Schizosaccharomyces pombe: one gene and its partner. The protein of the gene in region 2 binds, or shares a complex with, the protein of the main gene of each other region. Each region holds a gene or a part of one and is shown on either strand. Other genes may lie near its edges.

What was found. The genes of interacting proteins can lie anywhere in the genome.
Region 1: srb7 (region 2) and med1 share a complex: the UniProt entries of both Schizosaccharomyces pombe proteins name them as parts of the mediator complex.

The regions. Positions count from the first base shown.
Region 1 is NC_003424.3:535,949-541,333, reverse strand, and holds med1 (mediator complex subunit Med1), read right to left. Parts: upstream 3,425-5,385; 5' UTR 2,940-3,424; coding exon 2,706-2,939; exon of another isoform or gene 2,660-2,705; coding exon 2,012-2,659; intron 1,970-2,011; coding exon 1,487-1,969; 3' UTR 1,322-1,486; downstream 1-1,321. Other genes in the region: translation initiation factor Tif5, read left to right, coding at 22-1,209; DYRK family cell polarity protein kinase Pom1, read left to right, coding at 3,609-5,385. UniProt on the Schizosaccharomyces pombe protein: Component of the Mediator complex, a coactivator involved in the regulated transcription of nearly all RNA polymerase II-dependent genes.
Region 2 is NC_003423.3:3,912,370-3,916,853, reverse strand, and holds srb7 (mediator complex subunit Med21), read left to right. Parts: upstream 1-3,215; 5' UTR 3,216-3,241; coding exon 3,242-3,283; intron 3,284-3,324; coding exon 3,325-3,418; exon of another isoform or gene 3,419-3,471; coding exon 3,472-3,501; exon of another isoform or gene 3,502-3,549; intron 3,550-3,553; coding exon 3,554-3,804; 3' UTR 3,805-3,984; downstream 3,985-4,484. Other genes in the region: importin alpha family nuclear import signal receptor adaptor Imp1, read right to left, coding at 1-228; exoribonuclease Rex4, read right to left, coding at 1,302-2,051, 2,126-2,158; atp17 (F0-ATPase subunit F), read left to right, coding at 4,345-4,398, 4,451-4,484. UniProt on the Schizosaccharomyces pombe protein: Component of the Mediator complex, a coactivator involved in the regulated transcription of nearly all RNA polymerase II-dependent genes.

The DNA of each region.
Region 1 (5,385 bases), on a different chromosome or scaffold from region 2:
ATCATCGAGACTGTAATAACAATGGCAACCATTAACATCCGACGTGATGTCAAAGATAGCTTCTATCGTTATAGAATGCCAAAACTGCAATCTAAAATCGAAGGCAAGGGAAATGGTATAAAGACTGTAATCCCGAACATGTCCGATATCGCTAAGGCGTTGGGAAGACCCCCTTTGTATGTAACTAAATTTTTTGGTTTTGAGTTGGGCGCCCAAACCACCATTATTGCTGACATGGACCGTTACATTGTGAACGGTGCTCATGATGCTGGAAAGCTTCAAGATCTGTTGGATGTATTTATCCGCCGTTTTGTGCTATGCGCTTCTTGTCAAAATCCGGAAACTGAATTAAGCATTAATAAGAAGGATCAGACAATTTCCTATGATTGTAAAGCTTGTGGCTATCGTGGTGTCATTGACGGTCGTCACAAGCTTACTGGTGTCATCGTCAAGAACCCTCCTGCAAAAAAGAAGTCCCACAAACATAAAAGGGATTCTCCTGTTGCAGAGGAAGAAGATGGTGCTGAAGACGAACTCACTCGTAGAATTCGTCAAGAAGCCGCGGAACTCCCTACCGCTGAGGTCGTAAATGACGAAGATTGGGCTGTGGATACCAGTGAAGAAGCTGTTCGTGCTCGTGTTCAAGAGTTAGAAGGTAATATGAAAGATTCGCTCACTTTGAGTGACTTACGTGGCGACGAGGAAGAAGCGGAATCTAGCCGTTATGATCAATTCGGTGAATGGCTTGAAGACAACTACCCTGGTGTTTCTGATGTTGAAATTTACAAAAAGATGAAGGAAGAGAATATTCATCATAAAAGTAAAGCTATTGTTGTACTAGTTCAATGTATTATTACTTCGCCTTACGTTGGGGAGTTTGAAAAGCATGGTGCATTGTTTAAAAAGCTTTGCACGACAGATAAACATGAACGTGCTCTTCTTGGTGGGTTTGAACGTTTGATGGAAAACACTGAATTAGTGCACATCGACGTTGTTCCCAAGGTACTCTTGGAGATTTATCAGAATGACTTGGTCTCTGATGACATGTTTGAGAAATGGGGAGCAAAGGCTAGCAAGAAATATGTGAGCCGTGAAACTAGTAAGAAGATTCATGAAGCTGCTGAACCTTTTTTGACATGGTTGGCTGAAGCAAGTGACGAATCTGAGAGTGAAGATGAGGAGGAAGAAGAAGAAGACGACGACGAATAAGAACGGCCTCTTTTTACTCTCTACCACAATTTGTGCTTTGAGAATTGAATAACTTACAATCCTGTTCTCTAAAATATTAAGCTGATTCTTTCAAGTTTTAGCAAATTAGTTTCTCGTAAGTTGAATATATCTATTAAAGTGTTCTGATTTTTGTAAAATAGGCTAGCCTTTTAAAGTGTTCAATTTATACTATTCAAAACATCCAACTAATTCCATAATTTCATTTTACTAAAGATTTTTAAAACTGATTAGTAATGTCTTTTTCTAGCATGAAATTCTAATTAACGACTTTCTTTATAAACACTTCTATCGCAAGTCCGATGTTACATGTTTGTTGTATAAGTTTTTGAAAAACATGAGACTGTTGTTTTGACAATTCTTTGCCACCACTAGACATATAATCAACATTCAGTCTTCCATCTGACAATACGGATAGAACAATGATAATTTGTTCGGAATTATTCAGTTTGTTGATTTCTTGATATTGGGCATGAACGATCGGATGCTCCTTAAAATATAGAGAGAGGTGAAGGGAGGAAGATGCCGCAGTCTCTGCTAAATCTGCTGATTTGATATTTTCCAAAATCAATTGTAATAATAAATATTGGCGTACAATAGCAAGTATTCCTCGAATTTGCTTGGGATGATGAAACGGTACGTGACGCAAAGAACGTGCGGAAACATCGAACCCTGTTAGCTGGATGGCTTGATTTTTATTAATGAATTTGTAGTTCACGGTTGATTTTGAAGGTAAACCAAGCTGGTGAAATTAGTTAAGTTGATATTTAGGGAAAGTACTTACCATATGACTATAATTTTGGACAGGCCAAGGAATGGTAATGTCATGGACATGAAGCAAATCAAGTAAAGGTTTGACGCCCTGCTCTGGTATTATTAAATTGATATCATCAAAAACTAGTTCCATTGTTGTAGGAATAGGTGTCAAAGTATTTTCAAGTGCCCAATTAATTTTTGATGATTGGAGGATAGGAGGAGAATTTAATAAATTATATCCGAATAACAAGTGAGGTAGCGACTCATGAGACAAATTATCCATAAAAATTTGAGTGCTATAGGTTTTATCCAAAAGCTTCCAGTATACAATACGCAAACCAAGTTGTCCTTCGTAATTACTGAGAGGCTTTCCGTTTCCATGCATTATAACATTTTCTTCTTGTGCTAGCAAAGATAATTCTGCTTCATAAATAGCATTTAAAGAAGAGGATAGTGAGTCTAAATATTGGAAACAACTTTGTTGGACCGAAGGAGAGGAGTGATCAAAGGTAGCCAACCATTTGACATTCTTTTCAAATAGTGGGGTATTGCAATTGTAAATTGCATCCTTAAGTAATTTTTCTGCAACAGGATTATTATATTGCTCACCACTAGCGTTTGCAAAAGCCAAAACAACGTTGATATCTTTTGGAGACGCATTTATGGGAACAGTGATCTAGATACTAATTAGTAAAACGGTTATGTACAGGATTTAAACTTACGTCGATCAAAATTATTTTTCCAGCTAAACTGAGGACCACTTCATTGGGTTTGGAGGAGTCTTGAAAAACCTCCAGACCATACTTTTTAGCCAAATATTCAAATCCAGTTACAGAGATATCATTCCAAGGAACTGATGATAGACAATCAATCCAATAACGCGTCCAGTTAATCTGATTGGGGTTAGAGGCGTTTCGACGGAAATGAACTTCAGAAAAGAGATGTGGTCTATCCATCGAAAAGATTATTAAAGAAGATTTAGTAAATTAGTCGTGTATTTCGTATTTAATCAGCTTAAAACACTGTATATAAGCGCAATTTTATGTCTGTTCAGCGAGCAATTTAATTTGTTCTGCAAAAAGGAAGCCTTTACTGCCATCAAACTATTTGCTAGAAACGCATTAATTGCAAAAACAAGTAGGTAATTTTGAACCGCCTAAAACTTAGTTTCAATGGGAAGGTCTGTGTGATTGATTTATCTTTATAACGAGGGTTAAAACAGTAGTTATGGGGAATTTTATATGTATACAAATGAAAACCAATTTTAAACCTTGGACTAAAAAAAACCCAAAGTATGTTCACTCAAACTCTTTTTAAAGCATCAAAATATATATGCAGTAAATCTTAATAAAATATTTTCTTTTTGGTAAAATTTGTGCACAAATCAATAAGCGTTCTATGTTTCATTTACAGCTTGCGTGCCCTTTCAGAAGTGGTTGGTATTGATATGCAGGGTGTAGCGCGGCTTTAATTAGCCACGAACGTACTGCTACTAGTTTGCATTTTAAAGAAGATAAGAGACTGTAACTGAAGGAGGGAGCTTATAGAAACAATATTTTGTTTCAAAAAAGCCAGTAAAAGCGTAATATAGTGAGAATTTTGGCTTTTTGAAGCAAAGTTTGCAAATGGGCTATTTGCAGTCCCAAAAAGCGGTTTCTCTGGGCGACGAAAATACGGATGCATTATTTAAACTTCATACATCAAACCGGAAAAGCGCAAACATGTTCGGAATAAAATCTGAACTATTAAACCCATCTGAACTTTCTGCCGTTGGTAGTTATTCCAACGATATTTGTCCAAACCGCCAGAGTTCTAGCAGTACAGCAGCAGATACGAGTCCTTCGACGAATGCCTCAAATACGAACATTTCTTTTCCGGAACAAGAGCATAAAGATGAGTTATTTATGAATGTTGAACCAAAGGGAGTTGGTTCATCTATGGATAATCATGCTATTACTATACACCACTCGACTGGCAATGGTTTACTCCGAAGTAGTTTTGATCACGATTATAGACAGAAAAACAGTCCGAGGAATTCCATACACCGTTTGTCAAACATAAGTATTGGTAATAACCCAATCGATTTCGAGTCATCTCAGCAGAACAATCCTTCGTCGTTGAATACTTCTTCACATCATAGGACATCTTCAATATCGAACTCTAAGAGTTTTGGAACTTCCTTATCATATTATAATCGTTCATCAAAGCCTAGTGATTGGAATCAGCAAAATAATGGGGGGCATTTGAGTGGGGTTATATCTATTACACAAGATGTATCATCCGTTCCTTTACAATCTAGCGTTTTTTCCTCGGGGAACCATGCATACCATGCTTCAATGGCTCCAAAGAGATCCGGTAGTTGGCGTCATACTAACTTCCATTCTACTTCACATCCCAGAGCAGCTTCTATTGGAAATAAGTCTGGAATTCCTCCTGTTCCAACTATTCCTCCTAATATAGGTCATTCCACTGATCACCAACATCCTAAAGCAAATATATCTGGATCCCTTACGAAATCAAGTTCAGAATCGAAGAATCTTTCTACAATCCAATCCCCTTTGAAGACATCCAATTCTTTTTTCAAAGAACTTTCCCCCCATAGTCAAATAACCCTTTCTAATGTTAAAAATAATCACTCACATGTAGGATCACAAACCAAATCACACTCTTTTGCTACCCCCTCTGTCTTCGATAACAACAAACCTGTTTCATCCGATAATCACAATAATACTACTACATCATCTCAAGTTCATCCCGACAGTAGAAATCCTGATCCGAAAGCTGCTCCTAAAGCGGTTTCTCAGAAGACAAACGTTGATGGGCATCGTAACCATGAAGCTAAACATGGGAATACTGTCCAAAATGAGTCTAAATCACAGAAATCTTCCAACAAAGAAGGTAGATCTTCAAGAGGTGGCTTTTTTAGCAGATTGAGTTTTTCGAGAAGTTCTTCTCGTATGAAGAAAGGAAGTAAAGCTAAACACGAGGATGCCCCTGACGTACCGGCAATACCACATGCTTACATAGCTGATTCTTCTACCAAATCTAGCTACCGGAATGGAAAGAAAACTCCTACGAGAACGAAAAGCCGGATGCAGCAATTTATTAACTGGTTCAAACCATCCAAAGAAAGAAGCTCTAACGGTAATAGTGATTCTGCATCACCTCCCCCTGTTCCAAGACTTTCGATTACGCGTTCTCAGGTTTCCCGTGAACCTGAGAAGCCCGAGGAAATTCCTTCAGTTCCTCCACTACCTTCAAACTTTAAAGATAAAGGACATGTACCTCAGCAACGAAGTGTTTCGTATACTCCTAAAAGGAGTTCTGATACGAGTGAATCATTACAGCCTTCCTTATCTTTTGCGTCTTCAAATGTGTTGTCAGAACCGTTTGATCGTAAGG
Region 2 (4,484 bases):
TTTCATTTGTTGCTCCATTTGAACCTGAGACTGATCAGCCTCCTCTTCCACATCAATGTCATTTTGTAAAACAGCGTTTAAATTCCTTCGTTTATTCAAACTTTCCTCACGTTTTTGTTTGCGGATTTCAATTTGCTGTTCTTCACGTTGCCGACGAAGTTCATCAGCTTTGAAAACACCTTTGCTTTTAAAACGGCTTCTTCTATCTGATAAATATCTCGATTCCATTTCTATAGGAATAAACTTTTTTGATATCCTTTTTACTCTTTTTTTTTTAGTTATCTAAGACAGTTGTGGTTGCTGCGAGTTTAATGAGAATAAGGAGGTAAAAGAGCACTTGTGTCGTTCCAAGAAGCAGCCGGCACCCAGGTAACAATGTTCAAAAATAATAAATTTAGAATAATTTGAAATATATCATTTTCCGGTTCAAATCGTTGAAACTTTCTAGATCATTTTTGTTCTGTCATTGGAAACCTTCGCACCATAAAACGGGTAAAACAACATGCTTATTGAGCTCATCAACCAATTTTTCTTGGGTTTTTAACAAGCTGAATGCTATAACAAGAATTCAAAATTTAAAAACAAATGGAATTTTTCTTTAAACAACCTGTCAAGTTGGCCTATTTTTATTTTTATTTTGATTATATAATACATATAGTTGAGCAATTTAATCTTTGAATAAATACTTATTTTTCAAACACTTCCGTATCTGTTTTGTAAGCTATTAATATGTATACATTAATGGTCCATTGTCTAACTAGAATTTATTTGGTAGCTATTATTAATATATATATTTTTTATTTTTTTTGTGATAATAAAGATTAATTCGGTATTTATATAAATTTAGGAATTAACTTAACGGCGCTTGAAAACATATTATCGTCATTCAGTTAAAATGCTCTAAATCATATACACTATAGGAAGTAATCTAATTATATAACATTAACTTTATTAATTCACAAAGTAATTATGAAGACCATATAAACGAAGCTGATAAATCTCTATATCCTTGTTTTTTCCATACATTATTTCTTTCCTTCAGTTGTATGCATCATTTATTTATACTAAAAATTATTAATAGATTGACTATTTAAAACCAGAAACGAAGGAAACAGAAGAGATAAATAAAGAAAGAAAACCAACGATTTCATAAGAGCCAATGAAAACAATATTGCTGTTATAAGCAACCGAAAATATATTTAACATCTGACACATATCCAGTAAAATTATAAGAAACATTTTCTTGCATATTATTAAACCCAAATCCCAAATGACCAGAACGAAGTCTAGTGATTCAAAGCTTATGACTTTGACAAACCTTTGAATGCAACTTCATCCATTTCTTTTTTTACTTTCTTATATAATTCCATCGTTGCTTGGGCATCCTGGACGGAAGAATGCTGTCCAGATTGAATGTCACGCCCAAGAATCACTTCAGCAAGTTTTTTAAGCCCTGGTGTCCTTCCCTTGGCTAATTTCCGATACCCAGAAAATCTGCTGGTATCACGAATCATTCTTCTTGGATGCGATAAAAGTAGTACTTTGAGATCGTTATGGACAGCATGTCCAACCAATACTCGATTGTCGAGTATCTTAGCAACTTCTGCTTGTACTTTTTCAAATGAAGGTGCATCCCGCATGTGAAATGACTTGACACCACTGACCCATGTTCTCCAATCCGTAACCTTTTCTTTAGGACGGACATAAGTATCATACACGACATGACCATGATAATTAACTATACTGACGCGTGCAAGAACTGACATGTCATCTGCCACCCCAACCATTTCACAATCCATTGCAATATATTTCCCCAATGTTTCCAAATTGGTTTTTCTGGTAAGCTTGGAAGCATCCACGCCATATGCGTCAAGGACTTGAGATTCAGGGATATCATTTTCCTTAGCAAATTTCTTTAATTCATTCATGCGTTTTTTATCGACGATATAAGAATTCTCATTCTCATTGTTTTTACCTTTCACACTTTTAAGGTATTTCTTTTCATTAGAATGCTTTTTTTCAACCCGTCCACTCTTAGCGCTGTCGAGTTTCTAAACAACCAATACCGTTAGTATACTTAAACAAGAATCTTAAATGACTTAATGGAAACTATAGCCTTTCATACCTTCTTTAACTTTTCCCAATTGGAAGAAGACATTGCTTGTGCATAAGAGCCAAAGTTGGTGCAAGAAGCAATTTGCAACCTCTTTCAATATGATTCTCAACGCGGTATCACAAATATTTTATCACATTTTAGCACATTTCATTATTTTGAATAAAGCGTTGATGATAGTACGTTACGTTAAGTATCATTATATAAGTCACATGCCTTGTATTTATTTATCTATAGTATATATACATATATTGACAGTGATGCACCATTTGTTGCTTCTTGATGTAACTACTGCCAAATATACGAGACTATGAAATAAATTAACCTCCGTTCTTCGGGTCACCAATGAGCTATTTCAGTGTGTACCCACTTCGTAAGAATATTATAAGGTACCGGTGGTTAATGCATTTCCTAATAAAAGAATATTGTGAATATTCAAGACCCGTAGTAGCATATTCGTTAAACATTTAGTGATTTATGTTTGCTTAAAAGGATAGATTGTATTGAATTTGTAGCATTGTCCGCTATCTTTTTAAAAGCAGAGTACTGCAATTTTAATAACAATGCACCTTCACGTAATATGAAAACACTCAGAATGAATGGATTATCAAAAAGGTACTGAAAGGGGTGGGACTCGAACCCACGAGCTTTCGCACTAGTGCCTTAAACTAGCTCCATAACCACTCGGACACCCTTCCACGATCAAAAATATAATAAATATGTCGAATGTATTACTATTATCATTGTTTTTCTATGTTAATTAAAAATACTTAGCTGATTCTGTAGTTTCTGTAGTTTATTTTTTTTCGCTTTCCATTAATTTTTTTTTAAATTTTATGTACTGTTTTATGTTAAATTTCTTTTGCTTATGTCAAGCGTGATTCTAGCTTAATTCTTTTTCCCGATTGCTAGACAGTCGGTTTTTAGGTCGATACATTACAATTACAAACAATGTCATAAAATCAAAAGCTGTGCATAATAAATATCCGATGCTGAAATAACAGAAAAGTTAATTAGCGATTTATTGTTCTTGACATTTGCGCTTCAACAATTGTTACCTGCATCATGGACCTTCAACAACTTGCGACTTTCAACTCTTTTTAACTCATATTACACCTACATAAAAAAATGGCATGTAGGTGTACTCAGCTTCAAGATACAATTGATGAGGTAATGGGACTAGTTTTCTTTTTCTATTCTAACCTATGTAGGTTGCCACACAATTTTACTCTTCCATTCATTATTTAAGTTCTCATCATGATTTCGTTCCTTTACCTGGTCAAGAAAAGGTTTCTGATTCTAAAGGTATACAAGATTCATTATGATGCTATTCAAAGTAGCTACTAACAAATTATTAGTGAACCCAATTTCTGCTGAAGAGTTACAATGTACGATATTAGACGTCCTCTAGTCATTTTATGTGCTAACTTCTTTTTGTAGTCGCTCAAAGGGATCTAGCAAAAGACTTGGTTACAAAATTTATGCAAATAGACACTTTGATCAACCAACTTCCAGGTATTTCCACTGCACCAAAACATCAATTAGAGAAAATTAAAAAGTTACAAAACTCCATTGAAGAAAAACAATTGGAGAGGAAGAGTTTAGAATCAGAAAATGAAGATTTAAAATTACAATTGGCCAAGAGGATTGAAACATTTGGCCGGTTATCATGTGTCCTATTTCAGCCCTGATGATAATATGTAAGCAAAATATGCATACTAGCATACTCTTCTAGTTGCCAGATTTATTGAAGTTTTAAAATATCTTTGTCTGAGCTAAGAAAGAAGATGTGATCGCTGGAAGTGGGCTTATCATACGGGCAGCCTTAGATATACTGTTTTGACAAATGATTCCATTTTTATTAACGAGCTAATCTTTTTGAATCGATTTACATAAATATCTATCTACTTGTAGTTTTTAGAATGCCTTTACTTCATGCTGACGAGTACTTGACTGAAGTAACTAATTGTGAAAGCAGCTATGAAGTCTTAAAAAATAAACTAATAACAAACAGAATTTGAAAAGTAAAAAAATAGCAAATTAGCAAGGATAGTTTCTTATAGAAGAAAGAAAAAAATCCCTGATTTTTTAGAACGTTTAACGAAATTTACAAAACAATACGCTATTTTTGTTTAAGAAAAAAAAAATCCATTAACCATTCATTGCAAGTTCCTTTGCTATATACGACGGGAATTGAACATCACCATATTCACTTTAACTTAATTGTAATCATGGCTCCATTTCCTTTGAAATCGTTTATTCCCCCTCAAGTAGCGAATCCTACAGTAAGATTAATTAAAAAAGTGATAAATATAAACGAAAATCTAACTAAGATAGGCTTTGAATGCTTTTCCTAGCTCTGCTAGGATGG